4 linked regions of the Arabidopsis thaliana genome follow. The protein of the gene in region 1 interacts with the protein of each later gene in a pairwise test. Each region holds a gene or a part of one and is shown in the gene's direction. Other genes may lie near its edges.

Evidence for each region.
Region 2: the proteins of KELP (region 1) and HB-7 interact in a two-hybrid assay, tested with the Arabidopsis thaliana proteins (one large-scale study listed by BioGRID).
Region 3: the proteins of KELP (region 1) and MYB70 interact in a two-hybrid assay, tested with the Arabidopsis thaliana proteins (one large-scale study listed by BioGRID).
Region 4: the proteins of KELP (region 1) and AT2G22750 interact in a two-hybrid assay, tested with the Arabidopsis thaliana proteins (one large-scale study listed by BioGRID).

What each region holds. Positions count from the first base shown.
Region 1 is NC_003075.7:6,695,025-6,701,793, reverse strand, and holds KELP (transcriptional coactivator p15 (PC4) family protein (KELP)), read left to right. Parts: upstream 1-2,594; 5' UTR 2,595-2,690; coding exon 2,691-2,990; intron 2,991-3,168; coding exon 3,169-3,274; intron 3,275-3,808; coding exon 3,809-3,900; 3' UTR 3,901-3,935; exon of another isoform or gene 3,936-4,120; intron 4,121-4,338; exon of another isoform or gene 4,339-4,450; coding exon of another isoform or gene 4,451-4,861; 3' UTR 4,862-5,082; downstream 5,083-6,769. Other genes in the region: AT4G10910 (uncharacterized protein), read right to left, coding at 4,451-4,861. UniProt on the Arabidopsis thaliana protein: General coactivator that functions cooperatively with TAFs and mediates functional interactions between upstream activators and the general transcriptional machinery. Binds single-stranded DNA.
Region 2 is NC_003071.7:19,163,444-19,169,281, reverse strand, and holds HB-7 (homeobox 7), read left to right. Parts: upstream 1-2,314; 5' UTR 2,315-2,508; coding exon 2,509-2,868; intron 2,869-3,088; coding exon 3,089-3,505; 3' UTR 3,506-4,008; downstream 4,009-5,838. Other genes in the region: AT2G46670 (CCT motif family protein), read left to right, coding at 4,049-4,501, 4,595-4,693. UniProt on the Arabidopsis thaliana protein: Probable transcription activator that may act as growth regulators in response to water deficit.
Region 3 is NC_003071.7:9,903,077-9,908,693, reverse strand, and holds MYB70 (myb domain protein 70), read left to right. Parts: upstream 1-2,661; 5' UTR 2,662-2,869; coding exon 2,870-3,799; 3' UTR 3,800-4,188; downstream 4,189-5,617. Other genes in the region: AT2G23270 (uncharacterized protein), read right to left, coding at 5,123-5,383.
Region 4 is NC_003071.7:9,669,583-9,675,787, forward strand, and holds AT2G22750 (basic helix-loop-helix (bHLH) DNA-binding superfamily protein), read left to right. Parts: upstream 1-2,090; 5' UTR 2,091-2,162; intron 2,163-2,301; 5' UTR 2,302-2,327; coding exon 2,328-2,375; intron 2,376-2,526; coding exon 2,527-3,024; intron 3,025-3,401; coding exon 3,402-3,782; intron 3,783-3,967; coding exon 3,968-4,042; 3' UTR 4,043-4,322; downstream 4,323-6,205.

The sequences.
Region 1 (6,769 bases):
AATGGAGGTTGTCTAAAAAGAATAACCAAGAAAATGGTCTCTGAACCCATCTCTAAAACTATTTTATAATGTGTATATGTAACAGTAAGAAGTGAAAAAAAAAATCCATATATCAATTAAGGTGTTAAAAAAAAAAGTCCATATATCAATCACTTTTCTAACATCGTCGATCATTGTGACGAAAATCGCTTACGTCTGTACCGTATTAACGTAATGCCATCAAACGAAAAAGTTTGCTCACTCACTCCGGTTTAGATCTTTGTTAACATAAGCAAACTTTTCAGAGAGTGAACTAATAGATTCACGAAACGACACCGTAATTAGTATCGAAAACTTGACTGACATCAGCCTAAGAAAAATATCGCAAATTGTTATAAAATATTAAACTTAAGAAGAAAAATGAAAATATAATAGAGTTTACTTAAAAAAAAATAATGGGTTAGCTGATTTTATACCCATAAACTAATTGCATTCTCAGCTTTTTCCCCCACACTTTTTGGCTCTTAAATTTCTACCATAAACTTTGATAATTCTTTAAATTACAACATGTACTTTCGGATTCATCCTTAAACATACATTTCCAATTGAACCGGTCATTAAACCAGGATTAACCACAAATCCGCGTTTACTGTACCACGATGCGATTTACCCGATTAATCACCTCTATCCGTTAAGAAAAGGGTTGGCTGATTTTATAGCCATAAACTAATTGCATTCTCTGCTTTCCCCCTCACACTTTTTGCTCCTGAAATTTCCACCATAAACTTCGATAATTCTTAAAATTGCAACATATACTTTCAGATTCATCCTTAAAAATATGTTTCCAATTGATTTAGATTGTCATTGGAACAATCTTCAACCTCTTTTGTCTATTTTGGATGATGTATTTTCGGAAGTTGATTCTCTTTAAGATGATATTATTTAGGTTGACTAATTGATTTGGAGTCTTATCTATCCTTATGATTAGGAGTTTTATCTAGTTCGATTTGTCATTTTCCTTACCAATTAACACAACACATAACATATATAGATAGATTCACATTATAAAACAAAGAGAAAACGATGTCGTTTTCTTAACGGGTGTGGGATTAGTCGGGTAAATCACAATAGCGGTACACTAAACGCGGATTTATGGTTAATCTCGGTTTAACAATCTAAATCAATTGGAAACATATTTTTAAGGATGAATCTGAAAGTACATGTTGCAATTTTAAGAATTATCGAAGTTTATGGTGGAAATTTCAGGAGCAAAAAGTATGGGTGAAAAGCAGAGAATGCAATTAGTTTATGGCTATAAAATCAGCCAACCTTTTTCTTAACGGATATGGTGATTAATCGGGTAAATCGCAATCGTGGTACAGTAAACGCGGATTTGTGGTTAATTCCGGTTTAAAGACCGGTTCAATTGGAAATGTATGTTTAAGGATGAATCCGAAAGTACATGTTGTAATTTAAAGAATTATCAAAGTTTATGGTGAAAAATTAAGAGCCAAAAAGTGTGGGGAAAAAGCTGAGAATGCAATTAGTTTATGGGTATAAAATCAGCCAACCCAAAAATAATAGAATTAACAAGAAAGTAAGAGACTTAAGGAAAGAGTAATAGATAAAAATAAGCATTATCCATATTTTATAGATAGAAATGAGCGATGGATTACCACCACGCTTATACGATTGCGATAATTACATCTATACTTATCCAGTTTTACAGAAAAAATAATAGATAAAAATAAGCATTATCCATATTTTATAGATAGAAATGAGCGATGGATTACCAGCACGCGTATACGATTGCGATAATCACATCCATACTTATCGAGTTTTAAGGAAAAAGTAATAGATAAAAATAAGCATTATCCATATTTTATAGATAGAAATGAGCGATGGATTACCACCACGCTTATACGATTGCGATAATCACATCCATACTTATCTAGTTTTAAGGAAAAAATAATAGATAAAGATAAGCATTATCCATATTTAATAGATAGAAATGAGCGATGGATTACCACCACGCTTATACGATTGCGATAATCACATCCATACTTATCTAGTTATAAGGAAAAAATAATAGATAAAGATAAGCATTATCCATATTCAATAGATAGAAATGAGCGATGAATTACCACCACGTTTATACGATTGCGATAATCACATCCATATTTATCTAGTTTTAAGGAAAAAATAATAGATAAAGATAAACATTATCCATATTTTATAGATAGAAATGAGCGATGGATTACCACCACGCTTATACGATTGCGATAATTACATCTATACTTATCCAGTTTTACAGAAAATATAATAGATAAAAATAAGCATTATCCATATTTTATAGATAGAAATGAGCGATGAATTACCACCACGTTTATACGATTGCGATAATCACATCCATACTTATCGAATTTTAAGGAGAAAATAATAGATAAAAATAAACATTATCCATATTTTATAGATAAAAATGAGCGATGGATTACCACCACGCTTATACGATTGCGATAATTACATCCATATTTATTCAATTTTAAAGAAAATATAATAGATAAACATAAGCATTATCCATTTTTATAAATAGAAATGAGCGATGGATTACCACCACGCTTATACGATTGCGATAATTTCATCTATACTTATCGGGTTTATAACACCGATAATCCGATTTGGTCAAAATCCGGCGGAGAAAAACCCTAAAAATGGAGAAAGAGACGAAGGAGAAGATCGAGAAAACTGTGATAGAGATACTCAGTGAATCGGATATGAAAGAGATAACAGAGTTCAAGGTTCGTAAACTCGCTTCGGAGAAACTCGCAATCGATCTCTCGGAGAAATCTCACAAAGCATTTGTACGAAGCGTCGTGGAGAAATTCCTCGACGAAGAGAGAGCGAGAGAATATGAAAACTCACAAGTGAATAAGGAAGAAGAAGATGGAGATAAGGATTGTGGTAAAGGAAACAAAGAGTTTGATGATGACGGCGATCTTATCATTTGCAGGGTTTGATTTCATTGCTTTTTCTCGAATTCGATTACTGATTTTGCTTGAAATAGGATTGATTTTGATTTGTATGTGGTCTCGTAGAGAAGCTAATAGTGTTATCTCTGAAGCAGAGATTGTGAATTAGTGAATGTTGTGTGTTCTGAATTTGGAATGTTGTTGTTGTTGTTGTTGTTAGTTATCGGATAAGAGAAGAGTGACGATTCAGGAATTTAAAGGGAAGAGTTTGGTTTCTATCAGAGAGTATTACAAGAAAGATGGCAAAGAACTTCCTACTTCTAAAGGTACTTTAAAGCTCTCTTTGTTCTATCACAATTTTTCAGAAATTGTAGAGCCAAATTCTGTGTTTATGTGCAAATGTTTCTTTCAAGTTCCACTTTAGAGTTGCATCAAAGTGATTTTCGTTCACAATTCGAAATTTGGAGTCAATGATGATTCAGAGTTGTTATTGTTTTGGGTGTGTTAAGTTTCAGTTTTGTATATTAAGTAAAAAGCTTTGGTGATTACAAACCATTTTGGCCGAAAAGTTGTTGACTTGAATGATTCTTTCAGTTTATGGTAGTTTAGTTTAACCTAGCACTTAAGCTTGTTCTGTATTACATCTTTGAATTTGTGCAAGTCCTGATATTTTGTGTAAAAGTCATTAAATAGTTTCTGTTTTATCTACTTTGAGAATAGTTATTTGGGTTTGAATATAGTTCATCTTTTCTTCTCTATAGATAAAAAAAAAAGGGACAACCATTTTACTCAAAATGGACCATATTGAGAATATTTTTGATTCATGTCTGGTCTCTGATATGTTATAATGTTATCTCCAGGAATAAGCTTAACAGATGAACAATGGTCAACCTTCAAGAAAAACATGCCAGCCATCGAAAATGCTGTCAAGAAAATGGAATCGCGTGTCTGAATGAAGAACATGTGATACTTTATCTCTAAACATGTGTAAGTGTCTTCTTAAGTAGTTAGTTGTTCGAATGTTCAGGTCTCTCATGTAACTGTCTTTTTTATTTTCTTCTCTCGAATTGGTCGTTATGTGTCTCGTACTGAGTTGTATCCATTTCGCTTTAACCGATTCCAAAAACTCTGGACCAAAGTACAAAACCATCTGATCCGGTTTCAAATTTCAATCTTTTGCATTTGAACAAACCGTAACCGAAACTAAACAAACCCCAAAAAAGTAATCCTGCTAAAACCTAATATTTTTTAAATATTTTCTCAAAAACCAGATCAGACTGAAACACAGACTGTGTCAAACAGAACCAAATGTATTAATTTTTTCCTCAGTTGGTTTCTATATTTCACAAAACATAAACTTCGAAAACCGAGTTAGATACACTCTTTATATAACAAGATATTTTTTTCATTTATCAAATGTTTGTGCTATATACACTTTTTGCTAGGATTACAAATAAGCCACATAAAAAAAACGCAATCATCGAACCTAACAGAAGTAGTTCTCATTGTCTTTTTCGGGACTTGGACAATAAACTTTTAACTCTGACCATCTCAGAGGCGGAGGTTGAAGAAACTAAAGCTTCTGCTGCAGCAAACCGGAGCTGATCAATCAAAGCGTGTGTATTGCCTTCAACTGCCAAAATCTCTTCAAGCTGCTTACTTCCGATCACCACTTTCGCTTTCCAAACTCCATTTCTTCTTTGCGGCGACACTTGTATCCTTGGCCCAAGTACTCCTCTAGGGCTTGTTGTACCTTGTCTAACAAGATACCCTAGTGTTTTCTCCCTTGTTATTGGCAACGAGCTACATCTCCGGCTTCTGTAATACTCTTCCAGGATGTTTCTTGAATTTGTCGCAATTACGGTAACCGAACCACCACCATCAGATACTGCTCTTTGCGAACAATTCCCCATCTTCACAGCAACTAAAAATGAAGAAAAAATAAGAAAGAAACAGAGAGTTTAAAACTAAATTTTGAGTTTGATTTGATTGTTTTTGGTTCAAGATAGGTTTATAAATACTAAAGAGAGAGTAACTCTCAGACAAGGATTGATCAAACAGTCTCTTTGTTGTCTCTTAATCTCACTACTTGCATGTGATACTCCGCGCTGTGCATAATACTATTACCTTATCCTCATCCTTTATAACTCATTTTTTTTCTAATTTTTTTCTTTTTTTGTTCTCTTGCGTTCTAGATAAAATTCTTATAAAAAATGCCAGCAATATAGCAAATATTTCAACTGAATATCTTCGGGGATAGACTATAAGTGATTTTTTATATTGTACTTATAGAAACACACATATATACAAACTATAATATGTACAAAAACATATCATATATACAAACTATAATATGTACAAAAACATATCATAAAACAAGAAATATGTATGTATGTATGTATGAATACATAATGACATATAGATAATATGACCCGTGGCCCGTGGGGATGAACCAATAATTTGGTTGATTTTCATTTATTAGTTTTGGAATCGCACTATGCAATAACTAAGCTATTACATTAGGAACATCATTATTATTTTATTTTTTTCAACTTATGGATAATTTTATTGTAGGACTATTTGGGTTAGTAGGGAAGGAAGGAATATCAAATCCCGTGACCATATTAATTTTTATAGGCATATCATTAACCAATTATCATTTTCATATTAAATCATTCACGGGTTAATATGCATATCATTAACCAACTATTTGGAGTTCGTAACATATTTTAGAAAACGAAAAAAAGAAAAGAAGAGCCCAACCAGGTTCACACCGGTGACCTCTAAATTTGCAGTCAAATAGTCTACCACTGAGCTATGAGCTCTTTCAAATTTTATTATTTAATTAATTTGAAATCAAAGTATAATTTTTAATGGACTTTATATCTTTGGGTTTGTTATTTTACCTCTCTGTTAATTTTTGAATCATAGAAATTTTTGAATTACAGATGTTTGAAATCTCCAATATAATTTACAAATGTTTTAAGTACTATAACATAGTTATAAGAAGTATGCGGCGATTTGGGGGTGAATTTTTTTTGTTGGGTTTTCTGGAGATAAATAATAGGTTTTGGAAAGTAATTAGCTTATTAGCCCGGTCACACTATTAATTAGAGGATTAGATGTGAGAATGTGTGTAAGAGAAAAAAATGTGTGAGACTGTGAGTGGGTGTAAAAAGTGGGCATGTGAAATGATGATTGAAACAAATGTAAAAATAGAAGGGACATGTCAAGATTTTATTGATAGTCCGAATAATTCATAATAACTATAATTCTAAATCTACTGTAAACATTTAGTTTATTTTTTTTTAAAATTAAAACTTACTAACTATCCAAAAAACCTTTTCACTAAACAATATTTTTGTTGTCTACTATTTTATTCAAAAGATAAGTTTTTATTGCCTTTGCATTATTGAAACAATGATAGTGATGAACGTATTAAGGCATAATTTTATGTATAACATTATGATATATTACGATCATAAGTTATAACTTCAGTTACATTTCTATAATTTAATTTGATATTTTTGTCTTTTGAACATGTGATAATTACTTAAACCATATGAAATGTGCTTAATAATGGTGAGTGTTAGACTCAATGTTGTGCCAAATGAGATGGTTTTTAACTTGGTTCATCATTTTTTGTTTAATTCGATTATTTTCTTTCAATTTAATATTCAAGGATAATGCATTTTTCTAGAGTGGATAGCAAATTGTCTTTCTGAATATCTCTATATTTCAATTCATGAATAAAGTTGACTATGTGAACAAATAATTCAAAAAAAATATACTGATTTGTACATTAGATATGCTGGTTTCAT
Region 2 (5,838 bases), on another chromosome or scaffold:
TAGAGATGCAGTAACGGTAATAATCTAAAAAGCAGGACAAAACTTAATTCATTCGTTAAAGAAAATAAAATAAAAATAATAAATTCATTCGTTAATAAAATAGATCTTCGTTTGAATATTACGATGGTATGAAAACAAAGAAAAACTTTGTGAACGTGACACCATACTGATAATCTAACATAAAAAGTCCTAATTAATTGTAAATATATCAAAAAATTAATGTCACACGCGGCAAGTCGAGGAGCTTGCAAATACAAACAAGCCAAGCCATCGTTTATTTAGTAATAAATTAAAATTATACTTTTTAAAAAAAGAAATGAAGAATTTGTCTTCTCCTACGGCTCTTCTCAGAAATTGCGATATACTAGTTAACCACGACACGTGTGTACTTTGCTGGGCCAAAATATTCAGGCACCACCACAGATCAACTGCCATGTCATCTCTTCTATCAACTTTGATGTCCCAAAGCATTGAACTCTCATCTCTGATTATAACACTTGGCTAGTTTTCGATGGCTGATTTTGATACTTTTTGATTGCCACTTTCTGATAAGTTCAATAAGACTTTAGAAATTGATCTCTTACGTTAAATTTTAGTTGGTACTTCTTTTTGGTTTAATTTTAGTTGATACTTGATAGATATAATTTCGAATTATGTTTTTTTTTACAAATATCAGATTTAATTATTAAAAAAAGAATATTAGGGTTTGAAAATATCTTATCTAGATGGCCCAATTTAATATTTTTGCTTGTATTAATTAGTCAAAAGAAATTTCCGACAAGCAAGGTGAACGTAAACCTTAAACTAATCAGGAAAGCAAGAATTAAAGTTGCTTTTCACATTAATACTAATATTGTTAAATTGTTATCGCTATCGTGAAGAAAATAAAGTCTAGGGAATCTGCCTCAAATATGGTTTCCCTGTTGGCAAAAATTTAACTTGCTTCCATTCAAATGATGAAATGTTACGAAAAATTAGCCTTTTGTCTTTGGAGTAATGTTTGTTAAATAATCACGAGGCATTCATTCTTAAAATACCATAACATTTATAGAGGTTTGAAGTACCATAATTTGTAAAACTAAACTAGAGAAATTTTGCGAAATCAGTTGTATGAAGACTTTCTTAAAAATAACGTTATATAGACTCTAGAAAAAAACTATTATATGCCATTTCTATTTAGTTTTTTTTTCTAAAAATATATATAAATATGGTGTTGTTAACATAAAAACAGAAAAAAAGAAAAATTTAGAAAATTTTCTCAAGAATCATTATATCTGTGATTTATCATATAAGTTCAAATATGATATTAGAAACAAATAGTTTACGAGTATAATAGTATTGTCAATTTTTCAATCTGAAGTAAATATCTTTTTGTAAGGAAGGGGTCAACAAATGATCACAACAGAGTTGGCAAAAAGTTATCAAATCGCATGCACGGAAGTTTTACGTGTGGTGAAGGTAAACTTGTATTACACTTATCTATAAAAATTAGTTTAGGCTTTGATTCTAAATCAAATCTCCGATTAGAAAAAATTGCGTAAGCAAATAGCTGGAAAAAATTGTATCCCATCATACTTAAGTCACAATGTTTTGTTTTTGAGATTTGTGATGTAATCAATATATGTTTTACAATGCAAGTATAATAATATTAAAGTCACATTCTAAGAAAATTATGATTTGTGTCATACGTATACAAAAACACCCGTCACACATCCTGACTTCTGAACGTTAAATCTGTCGCACACAATCATAAAAATTTAAAAATTCACCAGAGATGTACTGAAAAGAATATAATTAATCACATGATGATATATGCATAGGAGATGAGGATTATTCATTTTCTGAAATTCCCTATATGAACCATTATAATTGTTTAGTAATCAGTTCAGAAATGCTAATCATTATATGAACCATTATAATTCCCTTCATTTTTATTTAAGATCCACTTAACAGGATTTGTTAATATGCACCCACATCACTAAATACATTGGTACGCAACCGTTGTTCCATTTCCATTTTCACATCGACCAGAATGTTTACTATGCGGTAAATTGTGTAGTATGCAGATTTTTTTGTATCATTTAATTTTCTAACACTTGTTAAGTCGAAACTAATTTTGTCACAAGTAAAAGAAATAAAAAAGGTGGAAATTATTAATCAGTAGTTAGATGATTAGTTTCGAGTTGAAATGAAACTCGACTTAACAAGTGATAGCGACGACTCTAGAAACAGCCAAAATCCGCCCTATTGCTACCTGTCGACCCACAAATCGTTTACTCAAAAATGAATAAAAAATTTACGATAAAGCAAACCCAAAGTTATATCTTATTATATGCTAAGGAGCCCTCCCAAAAAAGAACAACAAATCACATTTTTATATAACTGTTAACATAATAATCTCAGCCTCATCAACACACATATATAGATAGCCAACATCACACAAACATAGAGATTCCAAAAAATAAAAATAAAGAAAACATAAATCCTCTGAGGAAAAATTCCGATGAGATGACAGAAGGTGGAGAATATTCTCCGGCGATGATGTCAGCAGAGCCATTCTTGACCATGAAGAAGATGAAGAAGAGCAACCACAACAAGAACAATCAGAGAAGGTTTAGCGACGAGCAGATCAAGTCACTGGAGATGATGTTTGAGTCTGAGACAAGGCTTGAGCCAAGGAAGAAGGTTCAATTAGCTAGAGAGCTAGGGTTGCAGCCGAGGCAAGTGGCTATATGGTTTCAGAACAAGAGGGCTCGTTGGAAATCCAAGCAGCTCGAGACTGAGTACAACATTCTCAGACAAAACTACGACAACTTGGCTTCTCAGTTCGAGTCCTTAAAGAAAGAAAAACAAGCTTTAGTCTCTGAGGTATGTTCTAAACTCTGTTTATTCTTACATGGTTAGTTAAAATCTGTGTATTTTGTGGTTGTATACTGAAAAACTGTGGTTTTAAATATGTGATAAAATATGTGCTTTAGTGGTTATATTGCAATTAAGGACTGATTAGGTGATCAAGAAAAACTCTGTTTTGATGGTTTATTGAAGGAGAGAATAGATTGTTGATGAGTTGTTTTATACCTTTATGTAGTTGCAGAGGCTAAAAGAGGCGACGCAAAAGAAGACACAGGAGGAGGAAAGGCAGTGTAGTGGAGATCAAGCGGTGGTTGCTCTAAGCAGCACACATCATGAATCAGAAAACGAAGAGAACCGGAGGCGTAAACCGGAAGAGGTTAGACCGGAGATGGAGATGAAAGATGATAAGGGTCATCATGGGGTTATGTGTGATCATCATGATTATGAAGATGATGATAATGGTTATAGTAACAACATCAAGAGAGAGTATTTTGGTGGGTTTGAGGAAGAACCAGATCACTTAATGAACATTGTTGAACCAGCTGATAGTTGTTTGACATCATCTGATGATTGGAGAGGTTTCAAATCAGATACTACTACTCTCTTGGACCAATCCAGCAACAATTACCCTTGGCGGGATTTTTGGTCATGAAAACAATAAACTCTAAACAAGAAGATGAAACAGATTGAGACTAAAGATTGGATATATACATATTCAAATCGAAATTTACCGGTCTACATCGCATGAACCGAGCCACGGATATAGAGATATTCGGTCCAGCAAATGACTCGTTTCTCAGCGAGAATTTTGCAGGATTTTGAGCTGAAATTGTATGGTTTTGTCTGTATAAATGATGTGTTTAGAAAGACGTATATTCTCAGTTCGTGTTTGTAATTCTGTTTTTAAGTAGTAAGTACTCGTCATGCTTTGTAGCTAAGTAGTAAGTTTAAGACTAAATTTGGATGAATAAAAATCAAAAGCAGGAGAAATCATATATATAAAGTGTTATGCATTAATATGTAAAAGATCAAGAAGAGAACTAAGTTGGTGAGAAGAAACTGATATTAGGAACACGAAAAGAACCATGAAACCCAAGTTAACATCTTCTTGACTCGGAAGATTTAAGGAGAAACTTTGTTTTTTTCTCAACAAAAGCAGAGTATCAAAACAGAGTCAGTCAATTCGCAAATTCTTATGTATTTAACTTGCAGATTTGAGGAAAGCAAGTCAGCAGAAAAAGCCGTCGTTGCTTTAGAGGAGAGTACTTCAGGTGAGCCAAAGACACCAACCGAATCACATGAAAAGTTGAGAAAAGTAAGATCTGATCAAGGAAGCTCCACAACGAGCAGCAACCAGGAGAATATCGGATCATCAAGCGTAAGCTTCCGTAACCAAGTTCTTCAGTCCACAGTAACGAATCAGAAGCAAGATTCACCCATACCGGTAGAATCAAATCGCGAGAAAGCAGCTAGCAAGGAAGTAGAAGCTGGTTCTCAAAGCACCAATGAGGGGATTGCTGGACAAAGCAGTAGCACAGAGAAACCAAAGGAAGAAGAAAGTGCGAAACAACGTTGGAGTAGAAGCCAGAGAGAAGCTGCATTGATGAAGTTCCGGTTGAAGAGGAAAGATCGATGCTTTGACAAAAAGGTAAGAGACACACAAGCTTCATCATAAAAACAGCATCTGAAACAAATACAAGATCAAACTGATTCAATGGAGATGTATAAAAATGGATTACAGGTTCGGTACCAGAGCAGGAAGAAGCTAGCAGAACAACGTCCTCGAGTGAAAGGCCAGTTCGTGCGAACCGTGAATTCAGACGCGTCTACAAAATCATGAAGAGCTCTTTCAGTTTTTCCTCTGATTTCTTTTGTTGATTTTATAACAGAAACTTATTTAGCTTTTGCAATCTTTAGTGTGCTTTTTTTTTTTATGTATTTGATTGGCTTCTTCTTCTCAGCTAATATGAGATACTGGGGCAACTTTTGTATATATGTCTGCAAATGATCAGGCTAAGCTAAAACAGTAATTCCAATTTCGTTAAGTTGAGAAATATTTCTTGTTGTGATCATATCCAGGCCGCTTCTCTCTCGATACATACCAACAAGAAACAGATTCTATAAAACTTGATTTATATACCATTGCTATAGTCTATGTATTAAAACTCATCACATTAATTCTCTCACAGTCAGAGAAACAAAAAAAAGGAAACAGAAGCTATCAAAAGAAATCTTTTTTGTGACCGTTAAAAGAAGATTTTGTGACCGTTAATTGTGATTATCAGTTTCCTTTTCTTCGCTTATAAATAAATAATTACTCTCTCACTGAGAGTCTCAACGCTTCTTCTAAAGAATTCGACAAATCAAAACTCTCTATTTCTCGCTTCTTCTTATTCTAAAACCCTAATTCTCTTCTCAAGACAATTTTGTCTTTATCTCTCTGTGAATTCCGATGATGATCCAAGTAGAGATATTCAAGTAAAAGCCGATGGTGATGATCTCTGAAACGTCCGTAATTGATCGGAGCGATATCATATCATCATCGTTTCGTGATTGAACCATCAAATCTATGTCATCAAGATCGATGTCGCCAGATAATGATCTGACCAACGAGAGACGCTTTCACCGGAGACTACAAAGAGGAGGATATAGCCAAGAGAGCGGAGAGCTTTATGGTGGTGGATGATGTCACGAGAGGGCTCCCAAAGACCGACGGGCTCAAATCTGACTTTGGAATGGGCTTTGCTCTATGGGCCCTTTTTGCTACTAAATCCAACAAGGTATTACTTTTTTCATTCTTTTTTTTTTTGTTTTATTTTCCTTCAAAATTATTTTTAAGTAAAACTAAAACTAATTAGTTTCACCATAACATTTATATAACTAAAATGTTTATATATTTTCATTAGTTTAAGTGTAAAATGTTTTTACACCTATATTTTATTATAACTTTAGATTTTTTTTATATAGATAAGTGTTAAATTTTTA
Region 3 (5,617 bases), on another chromosome or scaffold:
AAGGGACAGAGCATATTGATTATCATGAAAAACTACTATAGTTGAAAATCATAAAAAAACAAAAGCACATTGAGATACATATCATATAATGGGGGAAAAAACACTCATACGCCTAAAAATTTCCAATGCATACCACTTCATGTTCGTAGATTTATTCAGAAAACGTGTAGGGTATCAGGATAATGAGAGAAACATTAATCAAATCTCACGTGAAGGGATGCAGAGTTAGTAAATGAGATATACAAGTACGATTGCGGACCACACATACACTTATACATGTTACTCGGTCAATGTCATTAATATTTAATTTGAATAAGAAAATACCAACTACATAAATGATTAGTGGTAATAGTATATACAATTATGGGAAGGAAGAATTTGGTAGTAGATACGATGGACCAATAAGGGAAAATCTCATACCGTATCTCCATTAATGACACCTTCTTGTTTAATCTATAAAATTTGGCTTCGATAATTAAACAGAATCTTAAGAACTCTTTTCGATATCTCTTACCTTATCTAACTATAACTTGAAAGAAGAGAATGAGGAAGCTCACGACAAGGTTCATGTTGGCATTGGAACATGTGCAGGCGACGTTTTTTGTGCGGTACACGGCTGATGTACGGTTTAACGTATTCCTTTGTATATGAGTATCATGTTGACAACAAATAAAACGACAAAGGAAATGAACTTTACTTCAACATAAATCTTTTAGACATGTTAAACTAGCTTATATCAAACAATGAATAGTAACGATAGGCTCTCAAAACTCTAATCGATCTATCCTGTCGTTTTCGATTTACGTAAGAATCTTATTAGTATCTTTTTGAATATCCAAAATAACTGATTTTTGTATATAAAAAGTAGTAATAATATTGGCATACAGGCTGGCTTCTTTAGTCAGAAAAGTCTCTGAAGAATCCAACAAAAAACCTAAACCACTTTTAACGTCATCCTTATCTTCGTTTTATTTTTCTTTTAATCAGAAAATCAAAAACAAAAACAGAAGAAACTGGAATCACTCAATAAGTATGGATACTTTACTTATACGTTTCTAATATGTATAGATACGTCAATTCAATACGCAAAATACAATTTCGAAAAAAGCGACGTTTGTGTTTCAGTGCTTTTAAATTGAAAACAAAATGTGTTTTCACACAACAAAATAAAAAATAAAAATATTCTTAAATTTGTTGTGAAACCAATACAAAATACAACGTTCAAAAAAGAAAAACTAAAACGACACACGACATATATGATTTTATAATTAAAGTCGAAGGAAAACGTAATTTTTTCTAAATCTAATGAAAATACCAACAAAAGTTTTTAAACTTAAATCGAAAGAGACCGAACCCAACAACTAAAATCATAAGCAACTAAACACAAACCCTTTAAAAAACATTAGTCTTCAGAATCAATAAATCCTTTATTTTGAAATAACTACGGATAAAATTTATTAAGTATATGCGATCAAACCAAAGATAACATTAATTACTTTCTATCGATATAAGAAACAGTCCCGTCTCAAGCTATAATTGAGCCTTTGCCAAAATAAAAATAAAAACTAAAATCTCTTAATAAAATTTTGTTTTAAGAAAATTGGGCCTTTTATGCTTATGATTGTTTTTAAAATCAGTAATAGATCCATGGCATTTGCCTAATTTGCCATGGGGTAAAGACGGTCTTGATAAGAGTCAATCTTTCACAACCTAAACTAAAGATTTTATAATCCGACAAATAAAACGACCGAAAAAACTTAAATACGTTTTTAGATACGACAACGATAATTAATGTGCATCTAATTACGTTTAAATAGAAATCTTCAAAAATTCGACCATACCAACACTGATATGCAAAGGAAAAACAAAGAATGTAACCTTCAAAATGCAAAAAGAAAAGATAATTAAAAAAGGAAATAACTTAAAAACGAAATGATTTAAATTAAATAAAAAAACGATCCACCTGTGAAACGCTCTCAAGTACCACAAAATGTACTCTCTCTATCACACACAGTTACATATTTCGTTGACAGCTGTCCCCACTAACAGCTGTTTCCCAAATCCCCAACCGTTTTCTTGGAAAGATTCTCTCTTTATTTTAGCCTCACTCTCTCAGACGCATTTCCCCCAATCGCACCGCCACTCCCTGACGTGCTTTTTTCTTTCTCTTTTAAATATTCAAATACGTATCAGACTACTCACGTTACATCTTCTTCATAACTAATCCAATTTAGAAATTACGCAAAATTACTTAAATATGTAGTTTTTCTAAATAGTTTTACATAACTACAATATATAAGAATTTTTAATTTGAATTTATTTTTTGAAAAAGGTTTGCATTTATAATTTGATGTAATATGATTTGATTTTAGTTTAATATCTTTGTTTAGTTATAGTTAGAAATACAGTACATGTTTAGTTATAATTTAACATTCATTAAAAAAACATTACATAATAATTTGTTTAATAGTATATATTTTAATAAATTTTAGTTTAGAGTTTATTTTGTTTGGTTCAAACTAAATTTCAGTTTTCTGGATTTTAAAATAATAAAACAAAACGGCATATACTTACATATTTAATTTGGTGTCAGTTAACTTATTTCAATTTGATTCAGTTGAAAACATAATTATGCACGTAAATAATCCAATTTACAGTTACGAAAAAATTAAGTTGTTGTTAACTAACGATAAAAAATTACCGGTAGAACCGGTGACCTCTCTAACCATCACACCTCGTATAAATACTCTCTCCTCTTCATACTTATCCTCTCAACAAAAATCGTTTCGTTCTTTTCCAAAATCCCCAAACAATAGAAACGCGTTTTAAACGATTTGATTAGTTTTAAATTAAAAAGAAGATCCGAGCGATGTCTGGTTCGACCCGGAAAGAAATGGATCGGATCAAAGGACCATGGAGTCCTGAAGAAGACGATCTGTTACAATCGTTGGTTCAGAAGCACGGACCAAGGAACTGGTCTCTGATAAGCAAATCAATCCCTGGACGTTCCGGTAAATCTTGCCGTCTCCGTTGGTGTAATCAGCTTTCTCCGGAGGTAGAGCACCGTGGATTCACGGCGGAGGAAGATGATACGATTATACTAGCGCACGCTCGGTTTGGTAACAAGTGGGCGACGATTGCACGGCTTCTCAATGGTCGCACTGATAACGCGATTAAGAATCACTGGAACTCAACGCTGAAGCGGAAATGTAGCGGCGGAGGCGGCGGAGGAGAGGAAGGGCAGAGTTGTGATTTCGGTGGTAATGGAGGGTATGATGGTAATTTAACTGATGAAAAACCGTTAAAACGGAGGGCGAGTGGTGGAGGAGGAGTTGTTGTGGTGACGGCGTTAAGTCCAACGGGATCTGACGTCAGCGAGCAATCGCAATCTAGTGGATCTGTTTTACCGGTTTCTTCTTCTTGTCATGTTTTTAAACCGACGGCGAGAGCTGGTGGAGTGGTGATTGAGTCATCATCGCCGGAGGAGGAGGAGAAAGATCCGATGACTTGTTTGAGGTTGTCTTTGCCTTGGGTCAATGAGTCAACAACTCCACCGGAGTTGTTTCCGGTGAAGAGAGAAGAAGAAGAAGAGAAGGAAAGAGAGATTTCTGGACTTGGTGGAGATTTTATGACGGTGGTGCAGGAGATGATTAAGACGGAGGTTAGGAGTTACATGGCGGATTTACAGCTAGGAAACGGCGGAGGAGCTGGAGGAGGAGCAAGTTCGTGTATGGTGCAAGGAACTAATGGTCGTAATGTAGGGTTTAGAGAGTTTATTGGATTAGGTAGGATCGAGTAGTGAGTGAGAAAAGAGAAGAATTGTGTAGCAAATGCAGAGAAAGAGCCAATTTCATGATTTGAGATTTGATTCATTCGAAAAAAAAACTGAATAAATGTATTGATTTTGATCATGACATGTCTTAGATTTAATGAAATTGGTCTATAAAAGGGTTGATGAGGCTGGTCCTCGAGGTGAATCAATGTTACCTTTTGATAAAGTGAAAGAAGAGCATGAACAAAGTCATTTCCATACAAAGAGGAGTTTACAGCATTCTTGATCTCTCTAGACTGGTCTTGCGATTCGAAGAGTGAAGTAATGAATTCTACTGAACCAAGTGACGATTTCCGTAGTTTGTTACCTTCGGTTACCGACTATAGCATCGCAGTAAAGGTTATAGTGTGAGAGACAACATCATATATAGATATTCAATGAATGATACAGAGTGTAGAACAGATCACCTCAATACAACTAACTGTAGCAGTAAGGCCTCTACCGGGGAAATACTCAAAGCACAAGGGAGGTCCTTCCCAATACTGTGGCTCTGCAAAAAAGAAAGAGTTTGATTGTGTTAATAACTATCAAGCGGTGTAAGATTACTGATGTTTGACAAGCAAATACCTTCCAATAGGATGTATGGTACCTTTCTCCATAGCAGCTGCTACAACTAATGCTTCCTTTTCACAATTTGGCATACAATACAACAAGGAGTCACACTTGCATCAATTCCTGCTTGATGATGTCCATAAATGGGTTCAATTGCTTTGCACGTAAGGCTCCTAATGTTTACCTATATAATGGAGAAGAAATATGCACTAGATATGTGTATAACTTGTTGTCCAAGCCAAATTTCCACAGCTCCATCCGGAACAACATCCTTCAGAAACTATCTAAAGAATTGGTTAACTTCAATTTCCACGGAAATCGCGATTTCTTGGTTAAAGTTGAAGTGGATGTAGCTGTTAAAGAGGTAAGCTTAGGTGATTATCACTCAGAAGAAGGTTAAAGTTAAGTCGCTTCTTTTTGCTTTGTGGATTTGGAGCTTAACTATGTTGTTATTGAAACTCATTAAAAACATGAATATCCAGTTATTCATTCACATAATCAGAATAATAAATTAATTACAATATATATTACATTGTACATTATTATCAAATGAATTTCAATAAGTTAACAAAAGAATATTCCTACAGAGAACAAATGAGGTTCTTCCAATTCTTGATTTTCCCAAGTTCTAAGCATAAAAAGAAAAATCTGAATAATTAATCTGAAAAAAAACTAAACAAAGCAATCAATTTCCGGAGCTAGACCAAAGCAGCCACATTAACTGGTTCGGTCGGGAACTTAGTGACCGGGTCCACTCGTGCTGGGACCTGAATGCTTACCATATTCAAGCGTCTCAGTCCGGTCCACGAACCGATGACCCTCACCACCAGAGCTAGGACCCGACTCCTTAATCGCCCCAAGTGACAAACCATCGAAGAACTTAGCCACGAGGTTCTCTTCAGCCTTCGTTAAACCCAAAGGACGAGCCTCCACCACAAAATTCGAACTCACCAACATGAAAAACAGAAACGAACCCAAAACAACTTTGTTCATCATCATTTTCTTTGAGTGGTATTTTTGAGTAGTAAAAACAAAAATGTTTTTTATTTTATTTTTCTTGTGTTCCCTAATTTATGAGATGACTAAATTTGTTGTGAGTAGTTTGTGGACTTGGGAGTTAGAATATATAGTAAAGTGAAGAGCCTTGAAGAAGAAGAAAAGTTTGACATTTTCAGTTTTTGACTTCATAAGCTTAAAATTCAACAAGACGTGAGATTTGAATTTTAGGCTCCT
Region 4 (6,205 bases), on another chromosome or scaffold:
TAATCATGTGCATGACTGCATGTATATATTATACAAATGATTTCAAGATGCTTGATGCTTATATTTTGGGGTGAGGTAATAGAGGGATCGAGAGATTAGTTGTCTCTTGCCTGTCATTTCTCCAATAGATTATTAGACTAACTCACGTGCTTTTTATTTTGAAAGGCTGATTATTTCAACACTTCCAACAAAACTTTATGAGTACGTATATATAAAATAAATTAATGAGTTTTCTTAACCTAGATTACCATGGTTGCACAAGACACTAGACCCTCAAAAGAGTCAGCTGTGTCTCTCTCAATAACTATTCGCAAGCACTTTATTTTCTTAAGAGTATAAATTTTGCAAATATATATCTAATTAAAGGGGTCTATATTTCAATTATATTCTTATATGTGTAACTCATTGGAAATAACATGCTTCTGTGTTAATATTACCAGTGTATGGTAAAAAATAAAATAGAATGAGCGATATACTGAAAAATCTAGTGATGATTTCTATGTATCTAGTGATAGAATAGACGAGAACTATTTTTCCAACGAAAACGTAACTCATTAGTTCATATGTTTTCTTTTCTTTTCTAAAAGAAATAATCTTAATTATTTATGTGCATATGTGTGTGTGTGTTATTTATAGATAAGCCCTAGCCAATCACATTCTAAATATGTATTATATTAGAAAGTCTTATATATATGTTTATATAGATCATAATTTTTCTTTCTTTCTGAAATGTAATTTTGATAAAGTGATTGTACATTTTGGTTTCTTTTCTACCTACCCATTAAAATTGACAAGTTGTAAGTTGTAACAATGTCATAACCAATAGTTGATACCTCAGAAACATGTCATAACCAATAGTCCAATACTATATCAAATACAAAAACAAATCAAGGGAAGATCTTGGGTTGGCGCAATACTAACAAGTAACAAGTGAGAAAAAAAAGTAATGAAAGAAAATACATTTTTCTATATATATGAACAATGATTGAACCCACCATATATTGAGGATGAATGCAAATTCTTTGTTTATTTCTGATTAGCGACCGTTGTTTAAAATGAACAAGATATAATTGTTTGAATACATTCTTGTTGGCAATATATAGGGAAGATTTAAGAAGATGATATTATTAGGTATTCATGAAGATTTCGTAATCTTTTCTTAACCCTACATCAATATTAGTATTAAACCAAAGATCAAGGGAATAATATCTTATCAAAATGGAGAAAGATTATTTCTTAACTAGTTGATTGATGTGAACAAAATAAAATAAAAACTAGTTGATTAATCATACACAATTACAAATTATATACAGTATGTATCTTTGGTGGAATCTAGCTCCCCTCAAGCCCTCTAAGGATCCTTCATCACTGAAGACTCTTTTACGATCTGACTCTCCCTTTCTGTTTTGTTTTGTTTGTATATATTATGTGTTTATTTGTGTATATATAATATGTCTATTTGTCTTATAAAATCAAATATTTTAAACTAATTTTTCTTGTTAATAGAAGTAAAAATAAAAAAATAAAAATAAATTATAACTAGCAATTTTCATTACAAGATAAAAATCTTATTTCATAGGGTCAAATTCGTTGGTAAATCTTCAGAAATGTGCTTTCAGATGGATTTCCGAAGGATTATTGTCATTAGCTTAAAGTGGTCAAAAATCCATGTATTTCGAAATATCTTTGAAAATTTCCGAGAGTTTTTCGAAAAACTAATATTTCCGACGGTTTTTGAAGAGATTTTCGAGAAACAATGCTTTTGAGGGATTTCCAGAAAAAATAAAATTAGAAGAATTTCTAAGAAACAAATTTGTCCAGGAGATTTTCGAAAGACAAATATTTCCAAGAAATATATTATTTAAATTCTTAGAAAATTCGCACAATTATCATTATTCGATCCTAAATATTCATATTTAGTAATAGATACACATTGGCATCAAAATCTTTGAGAGTATTATCAGTATCAATCAATCTAATGTATTATTATTTTTAATTAATATTATCAACCAGTATCTATTTGTATTTGATTGCCTTTCACGCCTGCACATAAAATTCAGAGTCGTCGTATATATGTATAAAAATATAATCGTGTTTAGCCATTAGCACATGAGCAAGTCCAAATCTCCCTCTCTCTCTCTCTATCTATCTCTCTATAGAAGGTAAACTTCAACTTCATCTTTCTTAGACTGCTTAAATTTCTCAAATTCTTGTAAAGCTTTTGGAATTCAAGAAATATTAATGTTATATAATTTCATTTTCTTGGGTTAATAGTTTCCTCATATGATTACCAATTTTCAGATTTTTTAACTAAGAAGCTAGCGATCATGGCCACAGCGATGAACGTTTTCTCTACCAAATGGTCCTCCGAATTGGTATATTTCTATACACACATACATACATATTTATGTGTGCCTCTCTTTCCTCATATGATTTTGTATATATATAAAATCTATATTCATGTTCTTTTAACCTACTTTTTCTTAGGCAAATTTCACGAATCTTTATTATTTGCTTTTCGTATAGGATATAGAAGAATATAGTATCATCCACCAATTCCACATGAACTCACTCGTCGGAGATGTTCCACAGTCTCTCTCATCTCTTGATGATACCACCACTTGTTATAACCTTGATGCTTCTTGTAATAAAAGTTTGGTAGAAGAAAGACCTTCAAAGATCCTCAAGACCACTCACATATCACCAAACTTACATCCTTTTTCTTCTTCTAATCCTCCTCCTCCAAAGCACCAGCCCTCTTCTAGGATTCTTTCTTTTGAAAAGACAGGTTTACATGTTATGAATCACAACTCTCCAAACTTAATATTTAGCCCCAAGGACGAAGAAATTGGATTACCAGAGCATAAGAAAGCCGAGCTGATAATAAGAGGGACAAAGAGAGCTCAATCCTTGACTCGAAGCCAATCAAATGCTCAAGATCACATACTGGCAGAGAGAAAACGGAGAGAGAAGCTTACTCAAAGATTTGTAGCTCTTTCCGCGCTAATTCCTGGCCTAAAGAAGGTACACATATGTAAAAATAAATCTTCTCTTCTTCTTCTTGTTTAATAAAGAGGCGCATACCAACCAAATGATAGTGTAGTCTTTTCTTAAATAATTCTATTTTGCTAGGCAAGAAACCAATTTTCATGGACAGTATTCACTCTTTTCTTATACCCACAATGAAAGTTTTGACTTCAGATCTCCCGGTTATGAGACTAAATTATTTGACCAGGACCGACTTTGTGAAACTCGAAATATACTAAAACAAATCCTCTATATATAAGAATTATTACTTTTTTACAAATCATTTGCAGTTCCGGCTTGAAGGTTTTTCATTTCGATTAAATATAAATATATTTACATGCTATATATTGAAATATGCATCTATGTCATTATAGATGGACAAGGCTTCTGTGTTGGGAGATGCAATAAAGCATATAAAGTACCTCCAAGAGAGTGTGAAAGAGTATGAGGAACAAAAGAAGGAAAAGACAATGGAATCAGTGGTTCTTGTAAAGAAGTCTAGTCTGGTTTTAGATGAAAATCATCAACCATCATCATCATCTTCCTCAGATGGAAATCGCAATAGCTCGAGCTCAAATCTTCCAGAAATAGAAGTTAGGGTTTCAGGAAAAGATGTTCTTATTAAGATCCTATGCGAGAAGCAAAAGGGTAATGTGATCAAGATTATGGGGGAGATTGAAAAGCTTGGTTTGTCTATCACCAACAGCAATGTCTTGCCCTTTGGACCCACTTTTGACATCTCTATTATCGCTCAGGTAACTATATATTTTCTCATATAAGCTACAACATAACTTTATTCTAGTATTCAACATAAATATATATATCGTGTGACAACATAAATCAATTCTATAGATAATGTACATGTTTCAGAATTAGTATGACTTTGGACTTAAATATTCTAGTATTCGAAAATTCTAATGATATAGTTTATTCTTTGCAGAAGAATAACAATTTTGATATGAAAATCGAGGATGTTGTGAAGAACTTGAGTTTTGGCTTATCAAAGCTCACTTAATTGGTTTCACGTTACATACATATACACATTCATCATCGATTTCTCCGATCGAAGAATCCAAAATCAGTTTTTCCATGAAAGTGGTTTTTTAGTTGTTAAGTTTGTTGTATGGAGATTCTTAAGTCATTTAAAGATCCTTGTTCTTGTGTTGTTAAGTGTGCTTTAAGATGCATATCATCAAATGTTTAGTAATTATTTCTCTCCAGTTTCATTTGGGACGGAATTTTTTTCGCAGTTGTTGGATATATATTTCCTGCGATGTAAAGCATTTCGTTAGTTTAATAAACGTCCGATATGTTTCTTTGTATTTTGATAAGCTTTTCTGTCAATTATAGTCACTACGATATATTTATATGATAATTACTGTTAAAATGGTTGAGTAGTTTACTGTTTACGATAATATTTGTCTTTCAAACCATCTATGTTTGATATATTATGGAATTTACAGGTGAATAACGAAAGAACTGAATAAACTAAACGAGAGAAATTTTTCGTATAATACTTATGAAAGGCTAAAAAAAACTAGTTTTAATAAATTAATCACATTTTTTTAACACGATAGTGGTATACGATATAGTGAAAACACAAAATTAAATAAATATTTTGAATGGTAATTATAAGTAACGGAATCACGTTTTCAAAACGTGAACTAGTTGTGTATACATTCAAACCCTATATAGATGACATTGTAGGAAAGATTACGAAAATGCCTTCTGTGAAATATAGGAAGATTATATCAATGTAAATGTATATAAAATCAAACTCAAACAAAAAAAAAAACTCTTCAATCTTAACTAAAGTATGTATATACTCCATAGAGTTTGATATATCGCAAACGGAAATTTTAATAAACTGTTATAATCAGGTTTAATTAGGACGCATTTGGATTCAGTCTTTTTCATTAAAAATATTTTGGTCAGTTCACGAGCATTTTGTCAAAACCGTGTAATGACTTATGAGTTATGTCTATGTGATAAAATGTGTATTAAAAGTGAAAATAAAATCAATTTTTCATGCAATACTTTTTCAGTCGCACCTTTTCATTTGCTAATCATTATGTTTTTTAAATTTATTTAATTAAATATAGTCAAAAGTAACGTTTTAAAACGAGGACCGAAATTAGAAACCTTCAGTTGGCTAGATTTAAGAAAAAAGTCATAAAGCAGACAACTTTTACCAAAGCATGAAGGAGTGTTTGAGATTCTATACGTATATTAATCTATTGAAATTTTTTAGTTTTATGTATGAGAAAATTCACACATTATCAGAATGTACATATACATATATAGCTTTCTAGAAACTATAGCAATTGAATCCAAAGAAAAAACTATAATCGTAAAACAAAAACAAAAACAAAAAATATTTAATTGAATTGAAAACGTGGGAGTAGACCTCAATTTTATAAGTAATTAAACTAATTTCCACTCCCCATGATTTAGTTCACATCTTACGGAAAAAAGTAAAAAGCAAAAGTTATAGTTATAGTGGAAATTCCTTAAAAACAGGCGACCAAAGCAATGCATGAGCCATGAGTTATTTAATTGAATTAAAAACGTGGCATTTTCCTTATTCTATTGGAAACTCGTTTCACGGAGGTCAAACAAATGTGAAAACCAAAAGTGTTCTTTGGAGTTTTGTTTTGTCTTCGTCAGGTCCAAAAAGTCCAACCAAAATGCCTAGAAGGTCACATAAACTTAAGTACCTAACAGGCTAACAGCAATCTTAATTACATGATATTTTGTTTCTGGACCATAATTGTCCTTAATGATGGGAAGAGAAAGGCTACTGGTATATTTCTGAAACTAGTAGGGGTATTAGATAAGAAATAACGCTTATACTATATATAATTTACATTTGTTAGAATTTTTTTATCTAACTTGGTTTTGGGTTTTGATGGAAAATATCTTATTAAATTATAGTAGGAGCTCGCTTATAAGAATTTTGTTTTGTTGTCTTCTCTCTTCTCGCTTTGAAGAAATTCAACATATGATAAACTAAAAAAATTAGTACGTAGTCTATAATTATAATAACTCATTTTTGTTTTTGATATTATATGAAGAATTCAAATAATTACGGATCCAGTGGCTAACCAATAACACTAACAATTTTCATACCTAAAATCTATTTTTTTTGTATATAAAATAGAATAATATAAATGGTTAG